Linked DNA regions of Nothobranchius furzeri. The protein of the gene in region 4 purifies or fractionates together with the protein of the main gene of each other region. This does not show direct contact. Links are inferred from orthologs where the notes say so. Each region holds a gene or a part of one and is shown on either strand. Other genes may lie near its edges.

What was found.
Region 1: the proteins of cdk8 (region 4) and med21 purify together in Homo sapiens (affinity purification with mass spectrometry; 14 studies listed by BioGRID and IntAct, counting the BioPlex papers as one, with this or other methods). This does not show direct contact. The link is inferred for Nothobranchius furzeri from reciprocal best matches to the Homo sapiens genes CDK8 and MED21.
Region 2: the proteins of cdk8 (region 4) and med25 purify together in Homo sapiens (affinity purification with mass spectrometry; 8 studies listed by BioGRID and IntAct, counting the BioPlex papers as one, with this or other methods). This does not show direct contact. The link is inferred for Nothobranchius furzeri from reciprocal best matches to the Homo sapiens genes CDK8 and MED25.
Region 3: the proteins of cdk8 (region 4) and med18 purify together in Homo sapiens (affinity purification with mass spectrometry; 5 studies listed by BioGRID and IntAct, counting the BioPlex papers as one, with this or other methods). This does not show direct contact. The link is inferred for Nothobranchius furzeri from reciprocal best matches to the Homo sapiens genes CDK8 and MED18.
Region 5: the proteins of cdk8 (region 4) and med7 purify together in Homo sapiens (affinity purification with mass spectrometry; 7 studies listed by BioGRID and IntAct, counting the BioPlex papers as one, with this or other methods). This does not show direct contact. The link is inferred for Nothobranchius furzeri from reciprocal best matches to the Homo sapiens genes CDK8 and MED7.
Region 6: the proteins of cdk8 (region 4) and med8 purify together in Homo sapiens (affinity purification with mass spectrometry; 7 studies listed by BioGRID and IntAct, counting the BioPlex papers as one, with this or other methods). This does not show direct contact. The link is inferred for Nothobranchius furzeri from reciprocal best matches to the Homo sapiens genes CDK8 and MED8.
Region 7: the proteins of cdk8 (region 4) and med24 purify together in Homo sapiens (affinity purification with mass spectrometry; 13 studies listed by BioGRID and IntAct, counting the BioPlex papers as one, with this or other methods). This does not show direct contact. The link is inferred for Nothobranchius furzeri from reciprocal best matches to the Homo sapiens genes CDK8 and MED24.

The regions. Positions count from the first base shown.
Region 1 is NC_091741.1:59,846,638-59,851,100, reverse strand, and holds the start of med21 (mediator of RNA polymerase II transcription subunit 21), read right to left. Parts: upstream 2,868-4,463; 5' UTR 2,818-2,867; coding exon 2,776-2,817; intron 2,440-2,775; coding exon 2,325-2,439; intron 151-2,324; coding exon 50-150; intron 1-49. Other genes in the region: fgfr1op2 (FGFR1 oncogene partner 2 homolog), read left to right, coding at 3,722-3,856, 4,103-4,220. UniProt on the Homo sapiens protein: Component of the Mediator complex, a coactivator involved in the regulated transcription of nearly all RNA polymerase II-dependent genes.
Region 2 is NC_091745.1:8,252,749-8,256,062, forward strand, and holds the end of med25 (mediator of RNA polymerase II transcription subunit 25), read right to left. Parts: intron 2,409-3,314; coding exon 2,244-2,408; intron 2,136-2,243; coding exon 2,015-2,135; intron 1,285-2,014; coding exon 1,249-1,284; intron 1,129-1,248; coding exon 1,025-1,128; 3' UTR 842-1,024; downstream 1-841. UniProt on the Homo sapiens protein: Component of the Mediator complex, a coactivator involved in the regulated transcription of nearly all RNA polymerase II-dependent genes.
Region 3 is NC_091745.1:72,040,935-72,045,159, reverse strand, and holds med18 (mediator of RNA polymerase II transcription subunit 18), read right to left. Parts: upstream 2,881-4,225; 5' UTR 2,596-2,880; intron 2,271-2,595; 5' UTR 2,254-2,270; coding exon 2,181-2,253; intron 1,407-2,180; coding exon 850-1,406; 3' UTR 750-849; downstream 1-749. UniProt on the Homo sapiens protein: Component of the Mediator complex, a coactivator involved in the regulated transcription of nearly all RNA polymerase II-dependent genes.
Region 4 is NC_091747.1:51,014,269-51,017,929, reverse strand, and holds the end of cdk8 (cyclin-dependent kinase 8), read right to left. Parts: intron 3,570-3,661; coding exon 3,512-3,569; intron 3,444-3,511; coding exon 3,312-3,443; intron 3,224-3,311; coding exon 3,080-3,223; intron 2,593-3,079; coding exon 2,523-2,592; intron 2,403-2,522; coding exon 2,330-2,402; intron 2,238-2,329; coding exon 2,140-2,237; intron 2,044-2,139; coding exon 1,965-2,043; intron 1,302-1,964; coding exon 1,143-1,301; intron 995-1,142; coding exon 869-994; 3' UTR 650-868; downstream 1-649.
Region 5 is NC_091742.1:50,786,086-50,790,703, reverse strand, and holds med7 (mediator of RNA polymerase II transcription subunit 7), read right to left. Parts: upstream 2,988-4,618; 5' UTR 2,846-2,987; intron 1,643-2,845; 5' UTR 1,634-1,642; coding exon 869-1,633; 3' UTR 319-868; downstream 1-318. Other genes in the region: itk (tyrosine-protein kinase ITK/TSK), read left to right, coding at 4,214-4,351, 4,450-4,554. UniProt on the Homo sapiens protein: Component of the Mediator complex, a coactivator involved in the regulated transcription of nearly all RNA polymerase II-dependent genes.
Region 6 is NC_091756.1:57,827,597-57,832,251, forward strand, and holds the start of med8 (mediator of RNA polymerase II transcription subunit 8), read left to right. Parts: upstream 1-1,535; 5' UTR 1,536-1,590; intron 1,591-1,735; 5' UTR 1,736-1,852; coding exon 1,853-1,858; intron 1,859-2,087; coding exon 2,088-2,209; intron 2,210-2,703; coding exon 2,704-2,848; intron 2,849-2,922; coding exon 2,923-3,063; intron 3,064-3,159; coding exon 3,160-3,247; intron 3,248-4,655. UniProt on the Homo sapiens protein: Component of the Mediator complex, a coactivator involved in the regulated transcription of nearly all RNA polymerase II-dependent genes.
Region 7 is NC_091756.1:31,526,118-31,530,532, forward strand, and holds the start of med24 (mediator of RNA polymerase II transcription subunit 24), read right to left. Parts: upstream 3,008-4,415; 5' UTR 3,001-3,007; coding exon 2,987-3,000; intron 2,876-2,986; coding exon 2,745-2,875; intron 2,663-2,744; coding exon 2,580-2,662; intron 2,499-2,579; coding exon 2,460-2,498; intron 2,378-2,459; coding exon 2,304-2,377; intron 2,199-2,303; coding exon 1,975-2,198; intron 1,778-1,974; coding exon 1,666-1,777; intron 1,587-1,665; coding exon 1,436-1,586; intron 1-1,435. UniProt on the Homo sapiens protein: Component of the Mediator complex, a coactivator involved in the regulated transcription of nearly all RNA polymerase II-dependent genes.

The DNA.
Region 1 (4,463 bases), on a different chromosome or scaffold from region 4:
CTGAAGCTCCTACTGGAAGCAAGAGTGAAGTGAGTGCGAGCGTGCCGACCTGCAGGGCTGCTGTGGACTCTTCACTGGGCAGAGAGTCGATCAGTACATCTACATCTTTGGCTGTTCTGGCAATAAGAGCGGCAAATAGCCGTGCATATTCTAGAGGAGAGGGAAAACACACATGAGGGAATGCAATGAGCGTTAGTGCCATTGCTGCAACTAAACAAGTAGGTACAGTCGACATAATAGTTCCAAATGACAAGAAAAGTCTAAATATTCCCCCCAGAATAAAGGCTACATCCCAAGAATGAGTCAATATGTCGAGACAAACGTCAACAGTATTTTAAAAATTCAAGATTACAGTCATAATGTCGATGACAAAGTCAGCTTGTTTCTTCCAGGATGAAGAAAAAAAAGTTTAAAGGTTAAGAATCAACACTTAACTATTTCTAGAACATTGAGAAAAGACAAGAGACAAAAGTAGAAACCATCTTTAAATAGTGGGGAACAAATTCTAAACATCTATAATTACGTCTAAATACTGAGGAAAAATATTACAATTTAATTTGAAAAATATCAAAATATAACTTCCAAAAAAGAAAACAAACCCTGTTGTGCCCCTGAATCAGACTGCATTTGTTCCAGTTTTATCATCATTGTAACCGACGGTTACAGGAATGTTTTACCCAGTAAACTATTCAATAAAATAACTATTTGGTTAAAGGGACGTTATGGAAGTTTGACAGCCAAAACATGTATAGAAATAATAAATTTCTTCTTCATACATTCTCCTGCAATGCCCTGGTCCTGTAGAATGAGCCCTGGCATTTTTACTGTGATTGCCTGTTTTTCTGTAAAATCACAGAAAAAGAGAGCTGCTCGGGTCGAGCAGGCTGCTTCATCCGTGTTCACGCTCAGGCATAGCCCTCCAAACTGTTCTTTGAACGTTGTTTCAGCTGTCATCAAGGATATAAATGTTACAGACACAAGGAACGTCACTGGCGCTTTAGCTCGCCTTGTAAGACGACGGACTTTCGTGCAGAAGACTCGAGTTCGAATCTGGATGTACATTACATTAATGGTATATTTTTTTGCAGTAAGATGCCCAAATTTTTATTTGACACTTGCCGAACGGCATTGAATTCACAGATAAAAAAGATGTGGGTTCAACTTTCATTTTGGAACAATTTTTCAAGCAAGGGAAGGGAATGATCTGAGCATGCAGGAGGACTGACCCATCTTAAACCTTTGTCGGCTGTGCTGAAGAGAAAGGTACAGAACCAAATTATTTAATTAGCTGCACCTTCTCCTGTCCTCTGTCCTCCGGGCCACACACACAAGGGACTGTCTCAGCTGTTATTTTCGTAAAGGAGTGTGCACGTACAGCATGCGCGCCTCGTGCACGAGCCTACTATTGAAGCTGCCATTACACTTTTGGCCTGAGGGGGCAATCGCTAGCATAAAAATTCAAAACTCCGTAAAGTCCCTTTAAATATCAGGTTTTAACTCCTTTTGTTAAAGCAGAACTCGGAGATCTTCAGTCTTTCACAATAAGGGTCTTCAGCAAACACGTCCCTTTAGTTAAAAGGGAACAACACTTCCTGTAACAAAATAAATCCCTTCTGGATTTAACAAGGCAAATAGGTTGTATAACCTCAAGATGGCAATTCCACAATTCATCAGGATCAAACCATGAAAGAGATCAGGGCATATCGATGCAGACCCAATGAGCACCAATGACAATCTTTGCGATGACAATTGTTAAAACTGTTTGATTGTTCAACATCTCTACAGGATCCTCATTAAAAAATGAATGCAACTCAGGATGGGAATAATTCTTTTGACATTGCAGAAGCAATCAAAGTGAAGGGCAGTCCAACTAAATATTACAAAGTGACACTTTTGGGGATGGGCAGGGTACAGTTGAGATTCAGTTCTTCAGGCTATTTTGGAAATGGTAACACTTTTTTTCCTAGACGTTTTGACAATTTTCTTTAAAATTTCAACATTTTTCTTGACGTTTTAACTTTATCCTGGAAATAGTATTTCACTTGTTGACTAGCATTTTTACTTTTATACAATTAAACCCCGAAACCCCTTTTTGAAACAATTTATTAAATTGTGGCTTCTTCGAATAGGAAAATAAATAACCCATGAGAGTTTGGTAGTGATTTTTCCACCAGGCATGTGAGCATGTTTGGCCTGCCAGACTCGTCCTCTGTTTAATTCTACACAGAGAACTAATGCTTCCCATAAGGATGCATGACTGGTCAGGCTAGCTGAATGTGGGAGAAAAGAGATTTAAATAAAGATTTTGCTTTGAAGTTACAAACCTTCGGCTGAATTTCCTGGCTGATCCTTGTTGATTGCTGTCTGAATATTACTGAAGGAAGCAGGTGGAGCACATTGTTGCAGAACACCGATGGCATCACAGAACTGATCAGCCAGCTGTTCACACGCAACAAAACAAACACGGGTTTTAAAACTCCGGACATTTGTTTAAAAGAATATAGAATAGATAAACAGCCAGTATAGTCTGATAGTTGCATTACCAGTTAAACCAAGCCATGTTCATTGGTTAAAACATAAAAGCTGTGATAAATTGTGTAAATTAACTAAACCTTAGACTCGCAAGTTAGCGATTAGCTACATTTAAAAGACTGAAACGATAATTCTGCAAATATTTCTTATCTAAATCCATTTGTTGTAATTGTGTAAGATAAAAAAATAACTATTGACGTAGAAAATAATTATATTTCGGGATATTTCAATAGTTTTGCTTACAGAATTGACAGCGTCTTGAAGTTGCGTTAGCCTATCCGCCATGTTGCCGTAAATAAAATAAAAAACTCCCCAACGTGACCCTCGCGAGAGTTTAACGTCTCGCGGAAATAAACAAGAGGCTTCGAGTTAGCTGAAGCGATGGCTGTGACCGTCCCACGGCTGGTTTTTTGTAATGTGGATAGGTTTTAAATCGACTTTTTCATGACTAGCGATATTTACTCTCGTGCTTTAAGGAAATGGGAACGCGCCAAAGCATCTAATCCGGAGTAAACGTCAGCTTTTAGCCAGTGTTAGCCACCAAACAACAACAGGAAGTAAAGAAGCTAACTCAACCCAAGTGGTTTTGTACTTTGAACTCTTCAGGTATGACCACACATTTGTCAGTTTTGCTGCCTTTTGTGGACCTTACAAGTTTAGTTATAGCAGCCGGTTGGTGTTATGAACTCCTCGGTAGTTTATATTTGATTAATGAAGTGTTGTGGTGATAAATTGTGTCAGTAAATGCAAAATATGTTAAGTAATAAAACTCTTATTAGAGTAAAATGACCTATCAATGCATTATTGGCTGTAAACTAGCGTGCTATCACCTACGAGGAGGCTTAAGGTTCAAGCTAGGTTCTTTAGCTTTAGAAACGTTTATTCATGGCTCATTTCGATCGTTCTGGTGAATTATTATTATTTTACAGAGTGTGGTGAAGTGAAAGTTCATGTATTTTCGTGTGGCTGTCTGTAAAAAGATTCTGAACAACTAATATAGAAGTAGACAGATCTTTGAATGAGCTGAGTTTGAAGAAATAAAGATTAGTACTTACTGGACTGATTTGTTTGCATGTATTCGTAGTGTATTGCATTAATTATATTTATTTTCAATAAATTGATACCAACAAGTCAGAGCTGTTGAATAATCAAAAATAAGTTGTTTTTATGCTTCTGTATTTCCTTAGGTATGAATTGTAGTTTAGAGAAGGTCTTGGCAGATGCCAAATCATTAGTGGAAAGGCTTCGTAACCACGACAATGCCGCTGAGATGCTAATTGAACAGACAACATCTCTCAACAAGAGAGTGGAGGCTATAAAAACGGTATGTGATTTTTTTTTTTCCTATTTTATGTGCTGTTGGGTACTAGCTTAGTGCCACCAGGGGTCACATTTTACTAATTCTATAACTGAACACTCTATAATGCAAAAGAAGAAAGTAAAGTGCATTCCAAAGAATGATGGAATATTTTAACCGTAGCGTTGACTGCTGTTTAGTTTACAGGACATAACTACTGAGGGCGAAGCTTTTTATTGATTCGTTATTTATTTATTTTTTCACATTTGACAGTACCAGGAAGAGATTGATGCACTGAACCAGGTTGCGCGACATCGGCCTCGTTCCAGTCTGGTTCTGGGAATCCAACAAGAGAACCGTCAGATCAGAGAACTCCAGCAGGAAAACAAAGGTAGTCTTTCAGTGTTAATACTCATGGTGATTGCTTCCTGTTCGGTACAATACATTCCTTTACTTTTGTCAAATCACACTGCTTACAAACACTGAAATGTTTTTGGGCAGAAAAAATGTTTTTTACAAATATCCAGAGACATCATTAAGGTAAAATTTATTTACATAGACATATACAGATCGACTAGAGTTATTTAAAATCCTTACAAAATATTTTTCACTGCATTTCCCTATTCATTTGTTC
Region 2 (3,314 bases), on a different chromosome or scaffold from region 4:
CAGGGTCTGACATCACTTCCTGTTGTGTGTACACTCAAGTAACAGCCCAAACTGATGTGTGTCATGCACGCTTTTCTGTGAGGTTCAGCAAAGTTCATGAGCATTTGGCTCCTATTGTTCCGCAGCTTCAGCATCCCTCTGAGTCAGGATCACGTTTAAGTCTGATCAAGCGCACCAGGATGCGTAAAGCAGACTGCATGCACATATATGAAGTGTGTAGCACGTGCACATGCAGCCACCCTTATCGTACATTATGCCAATGGAAACGCAGCCAACTGATGCCATCTGGTAGAACTACTTGGCACAGCACGGCCCTCTATGGTTCCTCGACATATTGGGAGTAGTTAAAATTAACACTGTTTGGCAGAAACAGACACTGAACTCTTTGTTACTGTGCCTATTTCAGTATCCATCCTTACCTTTAGAGCACAAGCAGCAGGAGCGTGGAGGCTTAGCGTGAAGACCGGCACGGCGCTGCAGAGAGCAGACCGAGTCTCTGCTCCGTTATCCAGATTCATTCAATCATTTGATTCTCAAACTAATTTGATGAATAATTAAACAAAGAAATTACAGAAATTTTTATTTCACCTTGATCAAAAGGACAAAAACAAACATTTTAAATAAAAGAGAACTAAACAGCAGTTTTCACTTTAATGTTGGGATGTAAAACTTGTAGATGAGTTGAGTTTATAGAGACTTAATGGACCGTTCTCCATGGTCCGGTCCAGCTGGTAGAACAAAGGATCCGCGGCCCACTTTTAGACCACTTACATGAAAGAAAAATAACACACACACACACACACTCACGCACGCACGCACGCACGCACACACACACACACTTTCAAGTTCCTAGTTAACTCAAGCTGAGAGCTGATGTTCAAAAGCCTGAAAATACATGATTTATTTCTTACTTATATCAAATATTTGTAGCAAAAACAAAAATAAAAGAAATAACAGATCTATGAGCCCAGAACTGCTGCTCGGAACTGACGAGAAATTATATTACAGAGTCCACCACGCTTGGTCAGAGCAGGTCCATGAGCATTTCCTCCTCTATCACACTGGAGACTTGGGACATCCCGGGCTGGGGCACGGGTCCCCTCTGACCTCCGGACATCAGCATCTGACCTGCACAGAAAAACACAAACAATTCTTTCAAAAGCCCCGCTTGTATCGCGTAACACCCAGAGTTTTACTCATGACATGGTGCGTTAAATATGTTCAAGGATTTTTAAACCAGCTTTTGACCTGCGAGGATTTCCTCTGCTGCCTGAACGTCCATCCCTAACAAACACAAGAATTTATTAAAGGCTTCTTTTATTGAAGATGCGTCTACTGCCCCATTTACAAAAGATGCTAAAATAATAAATAATTAAATGATAATTTTAACAGAATATAACCGAACTGTAGCAGAAAAGATCTTTCATAGTGTTTTGATTTTCTTTGTTCTAACAATTTTTATTAATAAAACTATGTAGCTAATCATCAGCCAAACCACATTATAGGGATGGGCAGTAAATGGAAAATGTATCATTATCAAAATTCTTCCCATGTCAATACATTTGATAATAAAAAATGAAAAGATGTGTGTGGGTTGGCAACGTTCAGGTCCCTTTAAGAAGCTGTATCACCTTAAAAATGTGACTCAACGTAACACACGTGACAGTCCCATCTAGTGGACTACTTAAGTTTCTGTGCATACCTGTAGTTATCGTCCATTTATCGTTATCGAGGTGAAATGCTCAATATGTCGTGATATTGATTTCAGGCCGTATCGCCCAACCCTACGTGACATAAACCAACCTGGCAGCTAGATTGGCTGCTTTGATGTTTAAATCTGTATATAAACAAACCAGTACTAATACAGCTTTTACAGTTCATGAGTATATTAGGATTATGCGACCAGTAAAGTATATGTGGAGCAAACGGAGCGATAAAAATAACCAAAGATTATAAAAAAGAAGAAGAAATCTTTCTGCAACTGAAGCAGAAAAATCTTAATTGAACTGCTGACCTGTCATCGGCTGCCTCCACTGGCCTTGCATTTGAGCCCCCCCTCCTGGTGCCGAGTGGACCAGCTGCTGTCCTAAGCCTTGATGGGACATCATGTTTGGCATGTGAGACACCGCATTCTGCTGCAAGGACACAGAGACATAAGCGGAGCGTTAACTTCGCCCGTAGAAGCGCAGAGTAAAAAAATCATGACTCAAAACAAAGAAGTAAACTCCAGCAGCTGTTCTTACTGGCTGCTGTTGACTCAGGAGGAGGCTGCGAAGCTGTGGATTGGCTCCGGGGTTCGGAAGTCGAAGTATGGAACCCGGAGGCTGTCCGCTCTGAGTGACCTGATTGGGCGGAGCTCCGCTAACCGCTGGCTGCTGATTGGCTGGTCCGGCTGCTCTCATCGTCATCTAAAAACATTTCAATCAGTTCATCAGATCTTGCAGCTCGTTAGCATCCCATACCGACACGAATCACACAACTACCAAGGAGCAACGCTGCAATAAAGTCTTTATAGCAGACCACCATCTAAACCGTTAAAAACATTAACTTTAACTCGCAAATATTATGAAACAAAGATTTTTGTTAATTTTATGTGTATTCGACTTCATTTTCCAACACTTTCTTCTTTCACTGTTTGCTTTACCTGTGTTTACCTAACAGCCTTGATCCAAACTTAGCAGAGGAAACACAAGCTGCTTCAGTAGGAGGAGCTTGTTTCTAATCAGCTGAATGGAAACGTCTCCTGAAGACCTACTGCAGCGCCACGAGCAACGTACTGCGTGTATGAGAAGCTGTTAAATGTCATATAACTGGATCCAAAAATGTTTAATAAGCTTTTATATATATGTATATATATATATATATATATATATATATATATATATATATATATATATACATATATATATATACATATATATATATATATATATATATATATATATATATATATATATATATACATATATATATATATATATATATATATATATATATATATATATACATATATATATATATATATATATGTATATATATATATATATATATATACATATATATATATATATATATATATATATATATATATATGTATATATATAAGTAAAACTAAAAAAATAAAATAAGGTGACAAAGTTGATTCATTTTAGGAACTCAACCTAAAAGCTGGAACTAATATACGAGGCAGACTCGTTCCATCCAAAGCCAGATATTTCACGTCTTTATGCTATAATTGTGATGATTATGGTTTACAGCTTATGAAACCCCCACATTCAGAATCTCAGATAATTAGAATATTGTGAACAGGTTCA
Region 3 (4,225 bases), on a different chromosome or scaffold from region 4:
TGCAGAGACAGCCATCGGCCCTGGAGCTCTCCTCTCAGACATGCACATGGTCACTTTAGATTTCAACTCCAGCAAATGCATCTTCCTGCAAGGGTATTATTAGAAGCACTCATGTCTTTTTTGCCAACATTATTATCATAACTGACAGGATGTGCATTAGTTACTTCCATCTCTGCAGGCAATTGGCCATAATGTTGACACACTAGTATACAGCCCTCTTTTTTTTCTTCTTCCAATTTCATCGTGAACAGTTAAGGACCCAAGGCAGCTGTGGAGCTTTCATGTGTAATGGTTCCAGTTCAATTTCCCATGAAAAAGGGGCACTAATGGGTTAACAGTGGAAACGAGAGGGGCAGGGAGCGAAAATCAATGCTTTTGTTGAGGGAAAGAAAGGAAGGCTTTCACAGGTCTATGTATCATTAAGCAATTGAGAAAGCTAATTAGAATGAGGTAAAAGATGTGCAGATCTCGCAGCTAATTATTTCCATGGCAACCACAGCTCCAGTAGATGATGAGAGGTAGCATTCAATTTGTTCCAATCAAGGCAAAGACAAGAGAAAGAGAGACCCCTAGTGGACGGAAAGAAAAACGTCCACAGCAAAAACCACCTCTTATTCAGTAAAGCATTAAAAGGTTCTTTGAATAAATAGCTTTAGCTGTTAATACACTATAATTTTCATCAACATGAGGAATAAATGAAGCATTTTTTAGATAGTGAAACAAATTCAAAAACAAATAAAACTCTCGAATAAAAGTTGAGCAGTATTTTATTTTCTATTAAGATAAAAAACAAACAATTAAACAAAAGTAGCTACATTAAATGAGTCCATGTTAGTCTGAATTCTACTTCTAATGTCTCTGCTTGCTTGGGTCAATCTTCTCCAGGTGAATCAGAGGTTTCAGTTGCTCTGCAAAGCTGCGCATGTCCTCTGAAACCGTGTCCTGGCCAGCAGGGGCCAACACGCTCAGTTCAACTAGGTGCGAATTTGACATTCGCTCTGTGTTTTCCGTGTTTCCTGGTAGCTGGACCCGAGAAACGTTGCAAACCACCACTTTCATAGCTCCTTTGCGAAATATGTGGCCGCTGGTGACAAATTCGTGGTCCATGCGGAAGCCCATCTCGTTCAGGAACTCTGGAAGGCTGTGAGAGGCAGCCACGTCAACGCAGTTGCGTACCAAGGCGTAGCGGTTTTTGTCTCCCACTTCAGGTTGGCCGAGATAACGCAGATGCCATGGAGCATTTGGGTGGGAGAGGGCGCGCCGGGCACGCAGGATAAAAGGATTTCCCTGCTGGCCTTTCAGAAGGTACACCAGCTCATGGTCTGTGAAAGTCTCGGGTTCCATGTTGTCACACAGACCACGGAGGCGATGCAGCAGGCTTTCCAGAGCCAGATCTAACACGCTGCCTGGATTCAACAAAAACAAAGAAAATAATGCTTCATTGAAGGAAAAATAACAGCAATCATTTTCTAACATGAATAATTCAAAAATAAAACAAACATCTTATGTCACTCAAACTTTATCTGAAACAGTAAAGGTATAAAACATGTATTCTATAATCAGTCTTCATCAGAATATGTTTTTCATGTAACACGTTTCCTTAAACTGTCAGATTAGAGGTTAATCCAGCTTTTGAGGACTTTTTCCACAGTTATGCTTTCATGGAAGCAGAAACAAGATTCTGAGATTTTACAAATTAGTAAAAATAAAATGACTAATAACTGATAGTTTCAGTTTATGGTAGAAGATCTTTTAAATCTTAGTTATCACCTACAAATATGTGTTCCTTATGCTGTACATCTTTGGAAACCCAATTTAGTATTTTTATTTTGTTGCTCTTAGTGGTTTGAAGGTTACAATAATAGCTTACTGCCGTTGTGTATGTACCTGCACTTTTGTTTTTATTTTTTTCTTCTTCCTTTTCTCTAAGCGTATGTTCTGCTCTAGAGTGAATGTCCCCCCTGGGATTAATAGCCTATTCAATTCAATTTAGATTTTTCCCCATTAACAGTCATCCATCTTTCATTGTTGACATAATAGCTGATATAAAATACTACATATGGCCACTAATGCAAAACTGACAATTGTATAAAACGTTGAAATGTCTGAAAAGTAATTTTTCTTGTGTACTTAAAAAGCACTCAGGGAGACTATTTTTATTTTGTATCTCACTAACTCACCTTGTAACAAATATTCCATCATATTAATCGTCCCACCGGTCACAGGCATCACGGTAACAGGAGGGGCCTCCATCTTTTCTCAGGTATCTGCTTTTGTCCCAATTTAAAAAGAAAAGCAGTCAGTAAGCTTAGCTCAACATGCTAATAAATAGCTAAATATTTCACTTTAAGAAAAAGGTCGAGGTGGTTCTAAACTTATTTTAATCAACACTTTGCATGCTGGCTCACTGTTACTTGATAATATGCAGAGCTTAATGTAAATAGCTACTTATGATGTTAACTTGTTCGTTATGCTAGCTAATAGTTAAAAGGCTAAATTATGTTGCTAAGCTAAATCATTCATACAGTTTGCGACTCCCCCAAAAAGTCTACTTTTACATGAAAAATAGCCATAAAGCAGAATGCTACTCCGTACCTGTTAAGGTAAACCAGAATAAATGTTGGCGTAATGGTTTGTTAAAGACCCGGTAAGCCTCTTCCGGTTAGCATGTAGCGTTAGCTAACCGCTAGTTCGCCAAGTTTTTACGTCAGCAACATACAAATGAGTCACTCCAGCTGTTCAAGTAAAAAATGGAGGAAACGTAGTCAAAATAAAACCACCCACGCATGTGGAGATTAGACAAAACATTCAATATGCATCAAAAATACGAGAGCATCTTTCTTTGGCTTGTTTTTGAAGCGCGTTACAACCGCTATGATAACACTCTGCTGCCACCTACTGGAGAATGACGGTTTTACAACATCTATGTCTAAAAACTACGGTGCACAAACGAAATGACAGGATCTTCGCATTAATATTCCACATTTCCTGAAATAAAAATAGAAATGAAGTTCATTCTGCAACTGCAGAAAGTAAATTAATGATCCAACAGTTTATAAATAATCATGAAAAAATAATCAGTCCAGTCACAACTAATCTGTTTCTCTATTATGATTTTATTCAGTTGTCTTCATCAGATCATATTTTAATCGCTTATAACTCTTTCTCAGAACGTCATTTTAAAATATCGGAACAGTTTCTTAAAAATAAATTCACTTCATTGTCTTTGGAAATTTTTAAACATTTAAAATTTAAATTGTATTATTTTATTCATAAATTCAAAATCTGCAAAATGAGAAATGTATCCACATTTCAGCAATATATCGTAACATATTATGGAAGAGTATGTATAAAATAAAATATATTTTAAATGTAGAAATTTATTTATTTATTTATTTATTTATTTATTTATTTATTTTGGGCAAAAATTGAGAAATTTTAGATTTTACCTCCACAACCCTGTGGGAGTAATAATTATACATACAATCATATTAGAAGTTGTTGACAAATTGATCACTAAATCAGAGGACAGTGTGGAAACTACAATCACTAACTCTTCAGTTTAGCTTTCATCTCTGCCAGGTGTGTTTCTACTACACTTTTATTTCACCATAAATGCAGTCAGTTTCACATGCATATCTATGTCTTCTTGCGGGAGGTGCCTTGATGACAAGAGAAGAATAAATAACAGTCGGGTTTTCTTCTTCTTCCTGCAGCATAAAACAAGACATTAATTACCTTAGCAAAACATCACATGTGGTATTTCATACATACACTTTATAATACTCATCATACCTTGCTGCCAAATCCGCAACAAGAGCTGTGAAACGGAAATGCTGAGGAGAGACAGAAAGAGAATCAGGTTGAAGGGCAAACCACTGTGCATGATTAAAATCTATATGTAAATTACAAAAAACAGGAAGTCTCAACGAAAACCTACAGCTGCAAATCCTACCTGCTTGCAGTCTTGATTTGAAGCAAAAAATCACGAGTGCTGTTACAGCTAGACATGCCGCAGTGATTGATACTCCATAAATGGCTGGAAACGTGTTTTCAGTCTCCTCAGATTCACCTGTAGAGTCAACAATATGTTTATTTTAATTGTTTAATTTTAATTTAGAATTTAAAAAAGAGGGTCGCGGCATTCACTCGCCTGCTGATGTGTTTAAAACTGCTGATGCTGATGTGTAAGTGCTGGTAACAGTCGTGCTATTGTCCAAAATCT
Region 4 (3,661 bases):
TGTACTTATTGACACGTTTTATATAAAAATGTGTATTATACTGTAAAATATGTCTTATTGTAAAACAATAACAGAGTAAAAGAAATGATGAATGACAAAATGCACTGAAATTGGTCCAAAATTGATGTTTCCACTTTTATTGTCAGGATACTTGTTTCATGTAAAATATTTAAATGCAATACAGTACAATGCATGTTCCATCTGCCATCCTCCATACGATTAGTTGGTTTTGTCGTCATGTTGTAAGGCTTACTCACAGTACACAGCAACTCACACACTCTGCTGTGTTACGCTTGTCATGAAAACAAAATCATGACAATAGATTAAATTAGAAACTACTAAAATCCTTACTCTGTCCTTTCTGAACAAAAAAAGCCTCCATCCCACAGCTGTGAGATCAAAAATCTCCCAGCCTGCTTTGCCGCAGTTCAGTCCTCAGCGGAGGCCCCTTACACACAAAAAAACAAAACAAATAGGAGGACTGAGAATCTGTTAACGTGGGCAGTCACGTAGCAGCTTTCGTCTCATCCAAGTTTTGACGGGACGAGGGGAACTGAAGCAGAGGAAAGGAGATGGCTCGTCTGTATTTTGCCTGATTAATGGAATATTTTATTTTTATCCTCTTGATCTGCCTTTCACCCATGAGGATTTGCTTTACGCTGTACTGGGATTGTGTTGTCTGACACTGGTGGAGTTGTTTTGTCTCTCTGAACTACCAGATCACAGCAGAGTGCCTTCAGAAGGTAGGGTGTGGGGTGTTGCACCATCCCCACATCCTTCAGTACATTCGTTCAGGCGGTCACAGAAATGGCTGTGTGAGTGTGTGTTCAGATTAGAAATGTGTGTGTTTATTTGTGGGAGGGGTGTTTCAGTAGCGGTGGGACTGGTGGGAGTACTGGGGTGGTTGTTGGGAGGTAGAGGAGTATCCCATGCTGCTTTGGGGCAGTGATGTGCTTGGTCCAGGATTCTGGTAGGCAGCATGTGGATTAGAGCGCTGCATGAACAACAACAACAACAAAAAAAGCTTTGTCAGTAAAAACTTCAAATTTCTTCTGTTTTCATCAGCAATTAGTTTCTTTATTTAGCATTTAGGACACAAGCTGTTCTGTTTGTGTGTCCAGATGAGCAGCAGAAAAGCTCACCTGGTAGTCTGAGGTCATAATGAGGCCACCTGAGGTAGTGGTGGGAGGGACAACCCGCACCTTCTTTGCAGGTGGGCCCTGGGTGTGGCTATTTTCTGGGTTGCCAGTGTGCCCCGCCCCGTTTGTGTGGTTGTTTCCCTGTTGCTGCTGCTGGTTCTTCTAAAACACCCAACAACAAAACAATCTAAACAATACTGTACATGTACTACAACATTTTAGTTTCTCATTTTTGCTTTGACAGGGGTGCTCCAAGGGGTGGCCAGGGATGGGGGGCCATGGCCACACCCTGGTAAATTGGTGGCCACCCCACTGCCCCCCACCAGGGAAGACCACCCCCCCACCTTCCCTAATAAATCACAATCATGTTCACACAAATTGTACATTCATCTTTTTTTAATTAGGACATACATTTTTACACTAACAAATAAATGTATTCTACTAAAAAAAAATTATCACAGCTTATATACTACGTATCCCATTGAGGCTCACTATATTTTTTCAAAAATATGTTCAAAAAGGTTTTGTTCAAACGACAACAGGCAAATTTTAAACTTAAAATTATAAAACAGCAAAATTTAAAACAAAAGCGGAAAAAAACTATGAACCTCTTAAATGTTTGTGTTCCTCAACTCTGAGGTAAATATGACGGACGCATAGGCCTTTAGTTCTAAATGAAAGATAACAAAGAAGCAATCGACAGCCACAGGGACCAATTTGGTGCCACCCCAAATTTATACTGCCCGCCCATGAGGATTATCTACGTACACCACTGCTTTTTGATTCAAATGCATTCATAAAATAAGTTTGTAAAGTAAATTTTACTTTGTCTCCTTTGTCCTCTGGCTCCTCCTCTGTCAAGAACTCTCTCTTGGGGTAGGGAATCTGACAACCTGCAAACACACTAGAAGAATGCAAAAACACCTCATCAACCTGTTCAGGAGTCTCCTCCGGCACGTTAGCCGCGCTAAAAGCCAGAACTAAATCTGCTGCAGCTCACTCAGACGTGGGAAGAGGCTCTTCTAAAAAGTACGGGTCCTGCATTGCCTGCTCCGATGTGATTCTACGGATGGGGTCCATGGTCAATAGTTTTTGCAGCTGCAATCAATAACGTGATTTTAATGTCAAACAAAAAGCCGTACCAGATATATCAGGCAGAGAAAGACTAAATCAAAAGCGCTTCAACTCACCAAGTGGAATGCTTTACTGTCTGGTTTAACTTTATGTTTTTCCATGTACTTTATAAGGCTGCAGTTTGTGTATCTGTATAAAAACAGGAGCAAACTATGAAGTGTGTGTAATTTTTGTGTATTAAGATATACTTTGCTTTGTTTTGATCTTAAAACAAATAAAAAACAGGACACAAGTGGTCTGCAGACTCACGTGTTCCTTCTGAAATCTTTCATCAGTGTGGAGTGCTCTGGCATCTTTTTGATGTCTTCCCAGTCTTTATCTGTTAGACCAAGGCAACAAAGGGTTAGGACGAAGGATCATTTATCTTTAAAGAAATTAAAAAATTATTTTTCCACAGCAACTTACAATTAAACAACATTTCTTTCATTTTTACACCAATTAGCTTTGGTTTTGTACTTAAACTCTGCAAATTTGCCCAAAATTTCTGCAGAAACCAAAGTGATCCTTCTAACTGACTGGTGAATTAAATAAATAGAGCGGCAGAGACGAGAAAAGAAAAAAGGAAAAGTGAAGCAGATTTTGTGAACTGGAAAGTATCGGTCCAAATGTAGGCCTGCAAGCAACCATCTCTAGGTTTGTGACTTGTATAAAGTCTGTGGTTTGATGTCCGGCGTCTACAGACCACATTAATACATTCAAAAACAGAGCAAGTAAAGACCGAGAAAATAATGCGTTTCATCACATTTCCTTCCAGAACATCGTAGCTGGAAAAATCTTGTGTAACACCAACACATTAACAGTCTCACCAGCAGGGAAGCCCATAACATTAAAGATTCGGTCCAGCTGGTCGTGGTGGTATGGGTTGCTGGTCTTGATGTCCTCCTGACGACAATGGAATATGGGCTCAGACGTTAGCAGCTCTGCAAAAATACAGCCAATCGCCCAGATGTCTGGGAGAAACGCACAGCACGTGCTGACATAAGTCAAAGCCACACCAATAAAAAACACGTGCAGAGCAGAAGTGGAAAAGGGTTTCACCGATGGCTTTGGTGTAGTGCCGAGCCCCCAGCAGCAGCTCAGGTGCTCTGTACCAGAACGTGACCACGACGGGGTCGAGATCAGCTAAAGGCTTCAGTGGTGAATTGAAGAGACGAGCAAACCCCATATCCGCTACAAAACAACAACGTGTGTTAGTTTATAAAGTAAAACTTTACTTAAGAAATGAACACGATACACACCGATCTTCACTCTACCCCTTTCGGGACCTTCTCCCATCACTAAAATGTTTGCTGGTTTCTGATGATGACAAACAGAAAGATAACAAAGATTTAGGAACAGCAGCTCACCGTTAGACCACAGAAGAGCAAGAAAACAGCACAGCAAGAAAG
Region 5 (4,618 bases), on a different chromosome or scaffold from region 4:
CGCTCATTTTCTCTGTCTTCATCACACTCTCCTCTCTCTCGCCCTTTTCCTCCTCCTCATTCCCTCTCGTCTCCCTCCGCCCGCATGTGCTCTGCTGTGTGTCTGAGTCTGATCCTCCCTCTTCCCCACCCCTACTGCTCTGTGTGTGGACAGTCTGGACACGTAGTTACACATGTTGACTAATCGCCTGCAGCTTTCACCAAAGCAAAAGGGGAGGGGGGAGGGGAGGGCTCCCAATGACGAGACGGCTCCTGTCGTTCACTTCAAAGAGCCGGCTCTTAGAACCAGTTCGTTCGCGACCGACACATCACTATTAAATAGGTTTTATTTGAATTTTTATTGGAAAAATAGTGTATGTATAAAGTATCACATGTACAGACGACTGACAGACGTAAACCTATCAAATGTCACCTTTCAATTCAGCACACCCCAACCCTAAACTTGTCTACATTGCATTACATTTTAAAAGAAGGCAGAATGACTTAATTAAATTTTACTCAGGTCTCTGATGAATCAAGCTCTTTGATATGCCGACTAGCTAAAGGATCTACGCATCTACCGCTAATGCATAATCAGCAAACCACAGCGTCAGAATTAGCAACAAATTCTTAACAAAAGCACTTTGTGTTTATGTGGAACCATATTAGATCATCGTTTTTGTGACGGCACTAAACTCCTGCTGCGGTTTCAAATAGATTTATTGAGCCCAGTGAACACAAAGATCTGTATAAGATTTAAACGCTAAGGAAATATTTACAAGTACATTTAGTTGAATTTGAAAAGAACATGTACAAATAATAGTATTTTTATCCCACACAAAGTATTTCATGCTGAGTGAAAAGTAAAAACATGCATGTGCTGTAAATCTTCATGCTATCTCATCTATTATACTACACATGGCAGCATCCTTGTCCCATGTTTTGTCTGTTTTTGAACTTGGGACATTCTTGTCCTGATCACCTGCAGCCATGCAGCTGGCGCCCGTGTCCTCTACATCCATTGGTTCGGTTTTCAGAATGGGGGCCTGTCCAGAAGAACAACCAAAACTAGATCCAGCAGACACACTCTTGGTCCCAACACACACACCGTCTGTTACATCCGACTGGGGTAAGTCATCAGGTAGAGATGCAAGGCACCCCTGGATCATCTCCACCACCCTGTCCAGATGCTTCTGGAACCTCTCTGCCGTCTCCAGTCTCTGCCTCTTCTGGACCTCCATCATGACTCTCAGTGTTTCTCTGGCTTGGTGTGGCCTGTACTCGTTTATAAGATGATGCATGTGAACAAACAAAAGCTTCATGTCCTCCAGTTTCTCTTCACGCTTTATGCTGCCAGGACTCTTGATGAGAATGTCCAACAAGTCCAGAAAGTTCACAAGAATTGACATGTTTAGTTTTTTGAGCTGCCGCTTGTGGTCAAACTGCATTGGATGGAGCCTCTCGATGCCTTGGCTCTCCAGAGGTCGAATGATAAGGTCATCACACTGGAACTGGTTGCCAAACATCATGTAGCTGTCTCTAATGGGTGGAGGCGGCTTTGGGACCAGACCCTTGCGGATATTTTCATCTGTGTACTCTTTAATGTACTGCATAGGTGGTGGAGGCAGGGCGCTGACCTGCTGTGGTTCACCCATGATGCAGACCTGAAAGTATAGAAAAAGAAAAAACATTTATTAGGAATTCCAGGCACTATTAAAGATCAAGAAATGCCTAAATGAACTTTTTTTTAGCTGATAACCTGTACAGATGAGTGTCTAATAGTGCTGTAGACATGTGCAATTATCAGTGTGGCAGTTTAGTGCAACTTATTCTAAATTTAATATTTCAGCCCAAAACCATAGTTATATCTCCATCTTCAGATTAAAACTCGGCTCCACATTCATGTAGAACCAGCTGTGGCTGATGGCTAAGCTGAAAAACATGACATTATCAGCTGATTACTACTACTACACAATACATTACAGCTACCTAATGAGCACAATAACTTATTAGGTAACAGCATATCGTGTAGAGCTCTGCATCAAAAGATATACACTATTACACATAACAGATTGTAGTAAAAGCCTGAATGCCCCTCATTTGTACAAATAAATACTGTTAAATGTAAACTGCAGTAACAAATAAAATGTTTTTATTAAGAATTTATTATTGTTTGATTTACTTTTTGAGAGTTTCGATAAAAGATTCTCAAAATCCTTGTACATAAAATATATTTAAAAATTCGACAAACGTCATTCTCCCAATAACTGCAGGATTCTATCATTAGGCTGGAGGGGCAAATTCAATAATCAGCATACACTTCCAGTAAAGTGTTAGTCTAAAATCTAAACTAATGTGTTGCAGCACCAGTCCAGCACAAAACATTCAAAGCAAAACTAGATTCTGATGGGTTTTTAAGTTGCACCTACTGCTGTTGTTGGTAGGAAAAGTAGATATGAACTTAAAATGACACGTAAATTATAGTATACACACTACTGCTCATTTTGGCGTAAAACATTTGCAATCTAGTTTGAAGTAAAATTAGGCTTTATTAGCCATAGTTAATAATTATAGGTTTAATATCTGGCTGAAACGTTGTTCTTAGGTATTTAAGTAGTCAAATTCAACTCCTAGCACGCACCTAACCATTGAACCTTTGTCTTCTGTGTTACCTTTATTTTGTTACGGACTCAATGTGTTATTGACAAACACTACAAGCAGAACTACGTTAGCGTCACCGCTGCATTTTGTACAGAAACCTAGCTAACTATAGCCACCGCTAATCCCGGTAGTTAATTGGGCACGTCAAAAATGAAGCGAACTACATAAAAGGTAAATGAGAAGGGAGTAAATGTATTCATACCCACCTTAAGAACAATCCTTTAGAAACACAACATATACTTCTAATAATAACGTTAATCAAATATCGTTGGAAAATTAGATCAGGGCTAACATAGCTTCTTCGATAAATGCAGAAAAGACCAGTCGTTTCTGTTTGATTTCTATTGGCTGAACTGTCCTCGTGATTGTTTTCCTAACGCTGATTGGGGTGCGGTCACAGAAAGAGCTCAACGCTGATTGGTAGAAATATCCGGAAGCACGGAAAAATTTGTTTTTCTTTTACTTTGTTCTTCAGAGGATCGATGGAAAAAGTACCGTTTGATGCCCAAACTGAACTGATTTTATACATGAAAAAGAAAAGTTACTAAAATATTCAGATAACTGTTGAATATTTTTGAATGAAAATACTAATTTTAAAGACATAAAAACAATAACCTGTATATTAATTCCTTCGGGTTCTCATTTTACAAACTATGTCAGTTATTGTTTGTTCTTTATGTTTATTTAGCAGACGCTTTTATCCAAAGCGACTTACAATTTATGACCTATAGGGCATGTTGTGATCTGTTTGTCCTCTTTCAGAATCTGCAGAAATCTATGAATTTTATCCTAAAATAATAATAATAAAAAAAGATGATTGTGATTTCTTATGTATGTGAAACACCTGCCACAAACAGAACGGTGTAAAAGGGTTGATATCGATATTAAAAAGAAATTGGGTTGATAATGACAAACTGAATTCTATTATTCTCTTGTGAAAAGATAGTGAGCAGCATTTTAATTCCTAATGTTCCGAACCGGTTTGCTCACGTTTATTTATTTACTCCTTGTCACCTAGATGAGTTTTGTAAATTTTTATGTGGCTTAAGTAGTTTTTACTCTTTACTTTAATCAAGAATTTAATGGACTGCATTCACTGTAAACAGTCTAAACTTCTCTGAAAAATAACAATATTTTGACGTGTAACCCCTAAATGCAAAGACACATTTAGAGAAAGAGAGATATTTCTTTATCTTAACTTTTTTCAGTGATGTTTTGTGTTTTGTTACTCATTTTATCTTCCCAATTGTTTAAAAAAGTACTACCAAAACCTGGATTTCTGCATTCACAGTCCTGCTTTGGGCTTAACTTGTTAATTCTCTATAACATTAGTGAAAGTACATGTGCAGGGTAGACATCTACAGTGTTTGTGCATCAAACAGTGTGTATTTCTGCTTGCGCAAATCATTTGTTGCCACAAGGATGTGGTTTACTGCCTGCCGCAGCTTCACGCCGGAAGCTCCACAGCATCTACGAAGTTTATCATCCACAACTTTGCCTTTTCTTCTTCTGACTCTGCGAGGCTCTGCTTGTGACAAAACCATTCGCAGACGCTCGCTGCGTTCTTCTTGACAATGTTCCCCAGGGTGATTTTGAGGGGAACCATGATCAAAAAATCCCAGCAAAAGAAAAGAACATCACCAAATAACTACAAAGAGAGGTTTTTTGTGTTGGACACTCAGGATCTGAAGTATTCGGAGTGCCGTCCGGGGGTAAGTCCACACGATTTTGTATTGAAATGTGGTTTTCTTAAAGTCACATTTTCTATGGCGTTGAATCTATGTGACACAGAGCGTGTTAATGTGTGCAGAAAAAGCCCATGTTGAAAGGTTGCATTCAACTGTCCAGGATTAGGTGTGTGGAGATTGTGTGCAGTGACATTCCCATACCTTGCAGCTACAAGTACCCGTTTCAGGTGAACATCATTATTATCCTTTAGGGTCACAAGGTCATTTCATTGTCATAAGAAGAAGAACATG
Region 6 (4,655 bases), on a different chromosome or scaffold from region 4:
CTCCCTCTAAACATCGAAACGTAATACATTTAATCTTTTTTGAGAATTTAATTAATGTAATCATTGAGAAATTAATAAATGAATGAAGTAATTCATTTTTGAGAAATAAATTGTTGGGTAATTTTTATATTACTCCCATATTACCTCAAAGAAAGTCAAAGCACACACAGAGGGATTAGATTAATAATTTGGTAAATTGTAATCCTGCCAACAACAAACAACAACAAATACTTTGCAAAGGCAAGAATGCATTTGCAAAGGGTGAGAGAATCACTACACACCAGACAAAAGGCATTTTGCACTCACAATCAGGCAAAGCCTTAGAGCTTCTTTTATTTAGGAAGGCACACCCAGAAGTTACAGATCAACCCCCACACACAGTTCTTTAGAACCAGCTGACCGGGGTAACCTAATCAACAGATTGTTGGACCTTCATCTTGTCTCAGGAAGTTACAGATAACAGGAGGGTGATCAAAGAGGTCATTCTTCACCACTCTAAAATGTGATCAAATTGATGACCTTCTGTTTAAACAAACACCTACACTGTTACATCAATAACCCTGTGATGTCAAAATCAGTTATATCCATCATGAATGAATACATTCATAAATTAATTAATTAATGATTAATTATTAATTAATTAATATAAATATATATATACTCAAAATAACAATTTGTTCTTGTTAATATTTATAATAACAGAAATACATATATTAGAATATATAATATAAATTAATATATTTATAAATAAATAAATTGACAAATCAATTAATTATTACATTGAATGAATGAATACATCGATAAATTAATTAATTATGGATTAATTATTAATTAATTGCTATAAATAAATATATTCAAAATAATTATTCATTCTTGTTATTATTTCTAAGAACATAAATATATATATTAGAATATATAATATAAATTAATATATTTATAAATAAATAAAATGACAAATCAATTAATTATTACATTGAATGAATGAATGCATAGATAAATTAATTAATTATTGATTAATTATTAATTAATTGCTATAAATAAATATATTCAAAATAATTATTTATTCTTGTTATTATTTATAAGAACATAAATATATATATATATATAAAATATAATATATGATATATATGAATATATTTTTAAACAAATTAATTGATAAATCAATTAATTATTACATTGATAAATGAATGACTGAATGAATGAATACATTGATTAATTAATCACCTCACACCTTGACTACTGTAACTGTCTTATTTGGTGTAAGTCAGAGTACTGTAGCTCGCTTACAGCTTGTTCAAAATGCTGCAGTGAGATTTTTGGAAGGCAAGAGAAAGTATGAACACACGACTCCAATTCTGGCTGCTCTGCACTGCTCCCTGTCAATTTTAGAATTAATTGTTTAATGGGTTGGCCCCTGCCTATTACAGCCACATGTTCCTGGTCTGGCACTCCTTTCTGTGAACCAGTTTCTGCTCTCGGTTTCCAGAGTTCAGCTGAGGACAAGAGGGGATAGGGCGTTCTCGGTAGCGGGCCCGAGACTATGGAATGCCCTTCCCTTAACCACTAGGCTCTCTCTCCCCATGAGTACAGGTTTGTAAAATACTACTTTTATGATCTGGCTTTTAACTCTGTGGGTTAGCTGTTGCTGATATTTTTACATGCTCTTATACTGTTATGTGTATATTGTTTTTTAGTTGTCCCTGCTGGTTTTATCTGTTTTATTTTGATTGTATAGCACTTTGGTGGCATGGTTCAAGCGGAGCTGAGGTGGAACATATTTTGGGGACTCATATTTTTGTAACACCGGAAGTGATAAGAACGGTTCATCAGAGGCATCCGGCTAAGATCAGCAATGCAGGTAATCGTTGATAATAGGAAAATAAAGTAAAACAAATGTAGGCGACATTGTTGTAGTTTATTATGTTCACTGGTATATCAAATATATTTGCTCTTTAAAGATAATTTAACTAGCCTTCATTTGCGAAGCTATGTAGCACGTAGCTTTTCCCTGCTAACATATTTGTTGTCTCGTTTGTTTGTCAGTCATCAAAATGAAATAAAATGATCGTTCTTCACGTGTCTTTCAGCAAAGGGAAGAAAAGCAGTTGGAAGCCTCTGTGGACACGCTGATCTCTCTGGTGGCTCACGTTAAAAACGCTCTGCAGAGTTTTATTGCCAAGTTAGAAAATGAATATGAGCGTTTGACCTGGTAAATTATTATTATTATTAAAATAGAAACGTACTATCTTATCGGTAAAGAAATGCAGCATTAGATGGGTGGCCGGTGATGCCTGTGCTTGGCAGCCTCAGCTCTGTCAGTGTGCCACAGGGCAGCTGTGGCTACATTATAGCTCATCACCACCAGGGTGTGAATGTGTGTGTGAATGGATAAATAATACACTTTGGAATCCCCTGACTCTGAAAGGCGCTATAGTGTGGGTCATTTTCATTTGATATTGCTGTGGTTGGTCTAAATTTCTAGGCTAGTGAAATGGTGCTGCCTGATCACGAAAACAATCATGATTATTTTTGTTCCTGTTGGTCATTTTTTAGTGCTAACTAAGGATGAAATAAAAATTGTAAATTAGGTTAATTGCACAGTCCTTAGTGAAATAACCTTAGTTTAAAATATTTTAGTCCAGATGCGGATCTTTTGATTAAAATTTCCTCTCAGACGCTACTTTGTGTTCTGCTTTGACTCAGGCCATCTGTTTTGGATAACTTTGCACTCCTCTCTGGTCAACTGAATACCATCAACAGACTGCTCAAGAATGAGAAGACGCCATCTTTTCGCAGCCAGGTTATTATTCCGTTGGTCTTATCTCAAGAAAGAGATGATGACTTAGCGGTGAGTAGCAGCATCTCAGTCTCATCTACTTATTTTTGAGTTAAGCTCACTAATAGCTTCTCACTGCCTCTCAGAAACTCACAGAGAAGCGTGTGCCGGTGTTCAGCCATGAGATTGTTCCAGACTACTTGAGGACCAAGCCTGATCCAGAGGTGGAGGAGCAGGAAAAACAGCTGAGTGCAGAGGCAGCACGGATAGGTCCTGATGCAGCACAGGTTGTGTGGAATAATATTTTGTGTCCTGTTAGTTGTCTGATTTGATAGCTTTCATCCGGCTCTGCTTTGTTTACCTTCATTTGTCTGCATGAACAGAAACAGATCCAGACTTTGAATAAGATGTGCTCCAATCTGCTGGAGAAGCTAAACAACCCACGGGAAGACCGAGATGCAGAAAGCGCAGGTGTGTTCAGGTTTTGCTGCACATTTTTTTACCATTAGAAAAAGTTGTTTAAAAGTTAAAGTCCCATTAGTCGTCACACACTAGTGATATTTTTTCTCCGCATTCGACCCATACGCTGGGGAAGCGGTGAGCTGCAGACATGGCCGTGCTCAAGAACCATTTGGTGGTTTAACCTAGGGCTGCTCAATTAATCGAAGTTTAATCCCAATTACGATCTGAGTTTTGAACGATTATTAAAACAAAACAAGCCAATTATTTGCTCCTCCCACTTACGCTGTCCTGAGTTGCAAATGAAGCGCTCCTCCTTGATGCTATTTCTAGCAGCTTCTCAGACCCCCTTCTTGACTTTTTAAATCTTAAAAGTACCTAGCAAACACCTCAGAAACATCTCTGGAAACCCTTAGCTACTTTCTGGATAACTGTCGTGGACATTTCCTGCAGGTTAGCTAAACACTCCGCCTGCGCTCCGGACCGTTCTTCAGGACATTAGGAAAGGGAATGATGTAGTGATGTGTCAGTCGCTAAGGAAACGGCTCACAGAGCCGACTCCCTGTTAGAGTAACCAGAGTGAGTAACACACACACCGCACCTGCGGACTCCTGAGCCTCTAAAAACAGCTAAATGTGCGCGTGCGGCGTGCTAAACACACGTGCAGCTTGCCCCCGATTGCTGTGAGACCGGGTTGGGGGGTGCAGCTTTGGTTGGGACAATTATTACATTAACTGATGGACCTGTAAATAAATAGTTTATAAATAAGGTAGAAATAAGTTCCTCACGCTGATAAATAATAACTAATCTCTCTGAGGACACGGTGCTAGTGCACTCTCCTACAGCACCTTGACACGACTCAATAAATGTTATGCAACATTTTGTGAACATCAATTTATTTGCGTTTATTTGTTATAAATGCCACTGTATAATTCTTGCTGTCAGTATTTGCAAGATATTGGTATTTGGGTCTGTACTGGTTAGACTAACATGAGTTAAACCAAGGTCTATAGCCCTTGGGTCATAGACTATGAGCTATAAGTATATTGGTCTTTTTATACTGGGAATCAGGAGTTATTTTAGTGATCATCTTGTTTCTCATTTATTTTTGTCCTGATTGTGCCCTGAGCAATTTTATGACAGAATAAAATCAACATAAATTGAAAAATCGTCTTAAATAATCGAGATCTCAATTTCAGTCACAATAATCGTGATTATTATTTTTGCCATAATCGAGCAGCCCTAGTTTAACCCCCCTAATCCAACTCCTTAATGCTGAGTGTCAAGTGGGGAGGCATTAGGTCCCATTTTTAAATTCTTTGGTATGACCCGACCGTGGCTCTAAACGCCGATCTCCCAGTCTCAGGACGGACATTCATACCACTAGCCACTGAGCATATTTTGATGGTTTAATTTTCTT
Region 7 (4,415 bases), on a different chromosome or scaffold from region 4:
ATCAGTGGTATTCATTACTTGTGGTATAATCAGCATTTTAAAAATCTATTCAGGATTTATGTTTTCTTGTTTATTCATTTTTCTTATTTTTTATTCTCCTTTTTTTCTCCTGTAATACGCGTCATCGCTGCTGTGACATCTAGCTTTCCCCACTCAGGAACAATAAAGGGATTTTCTATTCTATTCATCTATCTGCAGCCTTTCCACTTCCTGTTTACTGTAGGTTAAATCTTTTCTCACGGGCCGACAACAAAATAAAAATATCATTTTATCTTAAATGAAAATGCAACATCTCACCTGTTAACTTTCATGTTTTGGAGCAGAAAAAGAGCATAAAACCAACATATTTAAAGCTCAGTTTGTTCCACTGGTTTACTGTGATGCTCACCTGTTCCAGCCAGATCCCTGCATCATGGGGTTGATCTGAGCTGAGGAGGAGACTCCTGTTGTTTTGTTCATCTTCATCATAATAATGACAACATTATATGACAACAGGTGCTCACATAGGTTTGTGCTGCTGAACATGTCTGAGCAGCTTGACCACGTCGTTGTGTGTTGGGGAGGAAAAATAAAAACGACAGCAGCCACAGAGTCATGCTGATTTGAGCTCGTCGCTGCTCGCTGGAGTAAAATCAGCTCTGTCTGAAAGTTAGTTGGAAATCTTTCTCTTATAGTCGTTCACACATTACAGAGCGGTTAAAATCTCCGTTTCTGGGCTTCAACGTCAGAAAACAGCTGAGTGAACTTGGCGCTGAGTGAGAGGAGCGTTTAGTTTGTCCGAGACAGCGGAGCTGCAGACACCGGCAGTAGATGCTGGAAAAAACACAAAGGAGGGGGCGCTTTGGCTCCGCGCTAACGCCGCAAACCATCATGGGAGTTGTAGTCTTTACAGTAAAATCGGCCAGCGGGTCAGTTTTAATATATTTTTGATATTTATCTCGCGGGCCACATAGAAATGCTCCGCAGGCCAGCCTTGTGTCTGACACATGTGTTTTAACACCTTAATCTAACAGCTGAAATGTCTCCTCAGCCTTCCTTATACAGGAGTGATTCATCACTAAATTAAACAAATTAGCTGTGTTCGTGATCTAAAACATGAAGGAAACGTGCTAGAAGCAGACTACTGCGTCAGGTAAATCAGCTTAACTTAGAGTGGCCCGCCAGTCTGAAGTTGCAAGTGGAATATTCTGGCCACGGTGGTGAGAGGGGCTGGGTGGCCTTTCATTAACCCTGCAAAGGGTCATTTTGGCACATAATAGCTTGAGAAAATGATTTAAAATTATGAAAAAAGTTGCATAGTATCCCTTTAAATGCAAATGAAATGAAAACACATTCTTACTTAAAATTGTTCCAACTAAAAACATTACAAGGTTCATCTTTCTACAAAAAATAAAAAAGGTGCAATGTGATTGTTTCCCCCCACTTTAATGTTTACCTGCATTCTTTTGATCATCATTAGCTGCTCCACCATGGGCTGGATCTCCCCCGTTAGATTCATGGTCCCCTCCAGCATGATGAAAGCATGAACTGATGGGAAAGAGGCACGGACTGGCGGGTCACTTTGTACCGAGAGCATCAGCGGGATGCTGAGGGAGAAGAGCAGAGATGCAGCATAAACAAGCTGGATTGTGATGGCCCTTCTAAGTCGGGCAGAGGAAGGCTGACCTTTTAACTAGAGACAAGCTTTCCTCTAGTTTAGCTCTGAGTGTTTGGTTTGGCACGTTAACAAGGCCGTCAGACACCTTGAGCACTGCTTGTTCAGCGTTACCCCAGGAACCTGAGGACATAGACACAGACACTTTAAAGGTGCATGAAGTAAGCGCAACATCCTGTGGTCTGCCATTTGCTTCAAAACAAATATGTTCCGAGAGAGATTTGAGGATTTTAAACACCATTGTATCCACAAGGAACACCTTTCAGCTTCTCAAAACAATATTTTTAAATAAATGGTTTGAAAAAGCTATTTTCAGGCACCTTGGTCCTCCAGTCGGGCAATGTGGACCAGAGCTCTGATCTTAGTGCTGCTCATCAGGTGGTGGAGCCTCTCCTGGCAGGCTTTGAGAGCGGCCTCGATGCTGGGAGACGGGCCCAGCTCTCTTAACTTCTCGCAGTAAAACGCACAGCCCTGCAGCAGCCACACGAGCACCCCCAGCAGGGCCCGGCACAGCCCGATGCAGTCCTCTGCTTTTCCGTGACAGCTGAGACACACACAGACAAGAAATTGTTTTAGTTTATACATTTTTTTAGTGGTAGAATGATGACCCATTGACACAATCTGTTGAGTTAGAAAAGATTGAACATACTTGAGACGATGGCAGAACATGTCCATTATCTCCAACAATGACATGACACACAGCTCCCGAGAAAAGCCATCAAACTGTTTAAATGGAGATATTTATGTTAAAGTTGTAGTTCTTCAAGTGATTACTACACCATTGTGTTTATATTCCAAAAAGTACCTTGCTGATGGCTGTTAGTACGCTGGAATAGGACACCATCTGAGACAGGGAGAATGAGGTGCACCATTAGATAATCTGTTCAGCTGCATGTTTGATCATAACCATGGTTCTTCTCTCTACCTGTGAGCTTATAGCATATCTAAGGTAAGACAGAATCAGCGGGTTGGGAGAGGGACCGATCATCGCCTGCTCCATCAGTGCCTCTAAAATACACAGAAAACATTTCAAATCATAGAGGAAGTGTTTATTAAATTAACAGATTATCAACAAATAGGCGTCACAAACCAGCAAAATTAAGGTAGTCCCATGTTTGGCCCTTTGGGAAGTTTTTTTTAATGTTGATGGCCCACTGGTGATCACTCCATCGTTCCTTCCACGCCTGCAAAATGGCTTGTTTCAAATTCACCACCTTCATCCTAGCAAGAGTGAACACACACACATTTGTCATGCACAAAACTCCAAATCCCCAATTTCAGCTAAGGTTTTAGGTATTTTATGGGAAAAAAAATTCAAGTCGTTTCAAGCACCTAAGGAAAACCATGGAAATCTGGTCCTAGGGCATGAGAGACAGGTCGTCTCTGCACAAACTGCTCCCCACCACAGACAACCCATCTCTCTTCAGGACGCCTCACTGCGGTCCTCACTGTTTGTCTGCTCCAACACTTCCAATTCAAAGCTTGAATTACATGATCAGCATGTCAACAAGCTCTGCAGAAGTACCTCACTGATTAAAACCACGCAGTGATTGCTATTGGATTAGAAACCACTGCCCTACAGAGACTAATCGGCTGCTCATTTGGCCATCTCTGCCATAGTAAATATGGCTTCAAGACAACATGCATACCATCGCTGTGCAACAGATGTTTTTATTGTAGATTAATTTTCCACAAACGCATATCTGTTTATAACTACAAATATACAACCATGAAACATGTTACTCTAGTATAGTAAAGCACCAATAGTTTATATTACTTCTGCCTATTCTTATACTTTTGTACTTCCCTGTCTGCTACTCTATCTATCTATCTATCTATCTATCTATCTATCTATCTATCTATCTTGTTAAGTATCTTATTAACAAAGAACATTTTTCTGTAAACGGATAGTACATTATTAGTTATAAAGCAGCCAGGTAAGGTTAAAGAGAAGCTAAAGCCTGAATAAGTCCACTAGTATGAAAAAACGACATCGAAACGTGGCTCATTGCAAGCAAAATAAAAGCAAACGAGGAAGTCTCGCCGCATTTCACTGATATATTCCATACTAATAATAGAATACTAATAGTTTGAACCATTCGTTCAATGTCGCTGAAGCGTGTTTATTAGCATGTTAGCCGTTAGATAGCGACGCGATCCATCAGCTGTTTGAAACAAACAAAAAAACTCAACAGCTATTAAACACACCTATGTCACCGTCAATGGGAACATTTCTAGTCGCACTGATTTTTTCCCAATGTAAGAATTACCTGACTTTTCCACAGCATGCAGGGCTGTAGGTTTGAAAACCAGACTCTCACAACGTAAGCGATGGAATCGTTGTTGCAACTACGTAAGCGCTCATTGGTCAATATTTCAAACGTAGGAGTATTCTCTCTGGTGATTGGTTGGAGCTAGTGCTCAAAAATTGCGTCGCAAGCATGAGATAATGTTGAACACTACATGTCGCTGTTTACCAGATGAGCAAAATTTATTTCTACCAGCGAGTCAGAGAAAGTCATTTAAACTGATTAAAAAGGGGTTTTGTTCTTATTAAATTCAATTAAAATATTAATAGGTAATATAAAATAAATATATTTAGATACTGATGTTTACCAGCATAAATTTGTAGTTTTGAATCAAAAACATGTCAGAAATAAAACTATGAGTTATTAGTTCAAAGCCCAATAAATACCCAACTACGTGTAATAAACAGAGAGAGAGAGAGAGAGAGAGAGAGAGAGAGAGAGAGAGAGAGAGA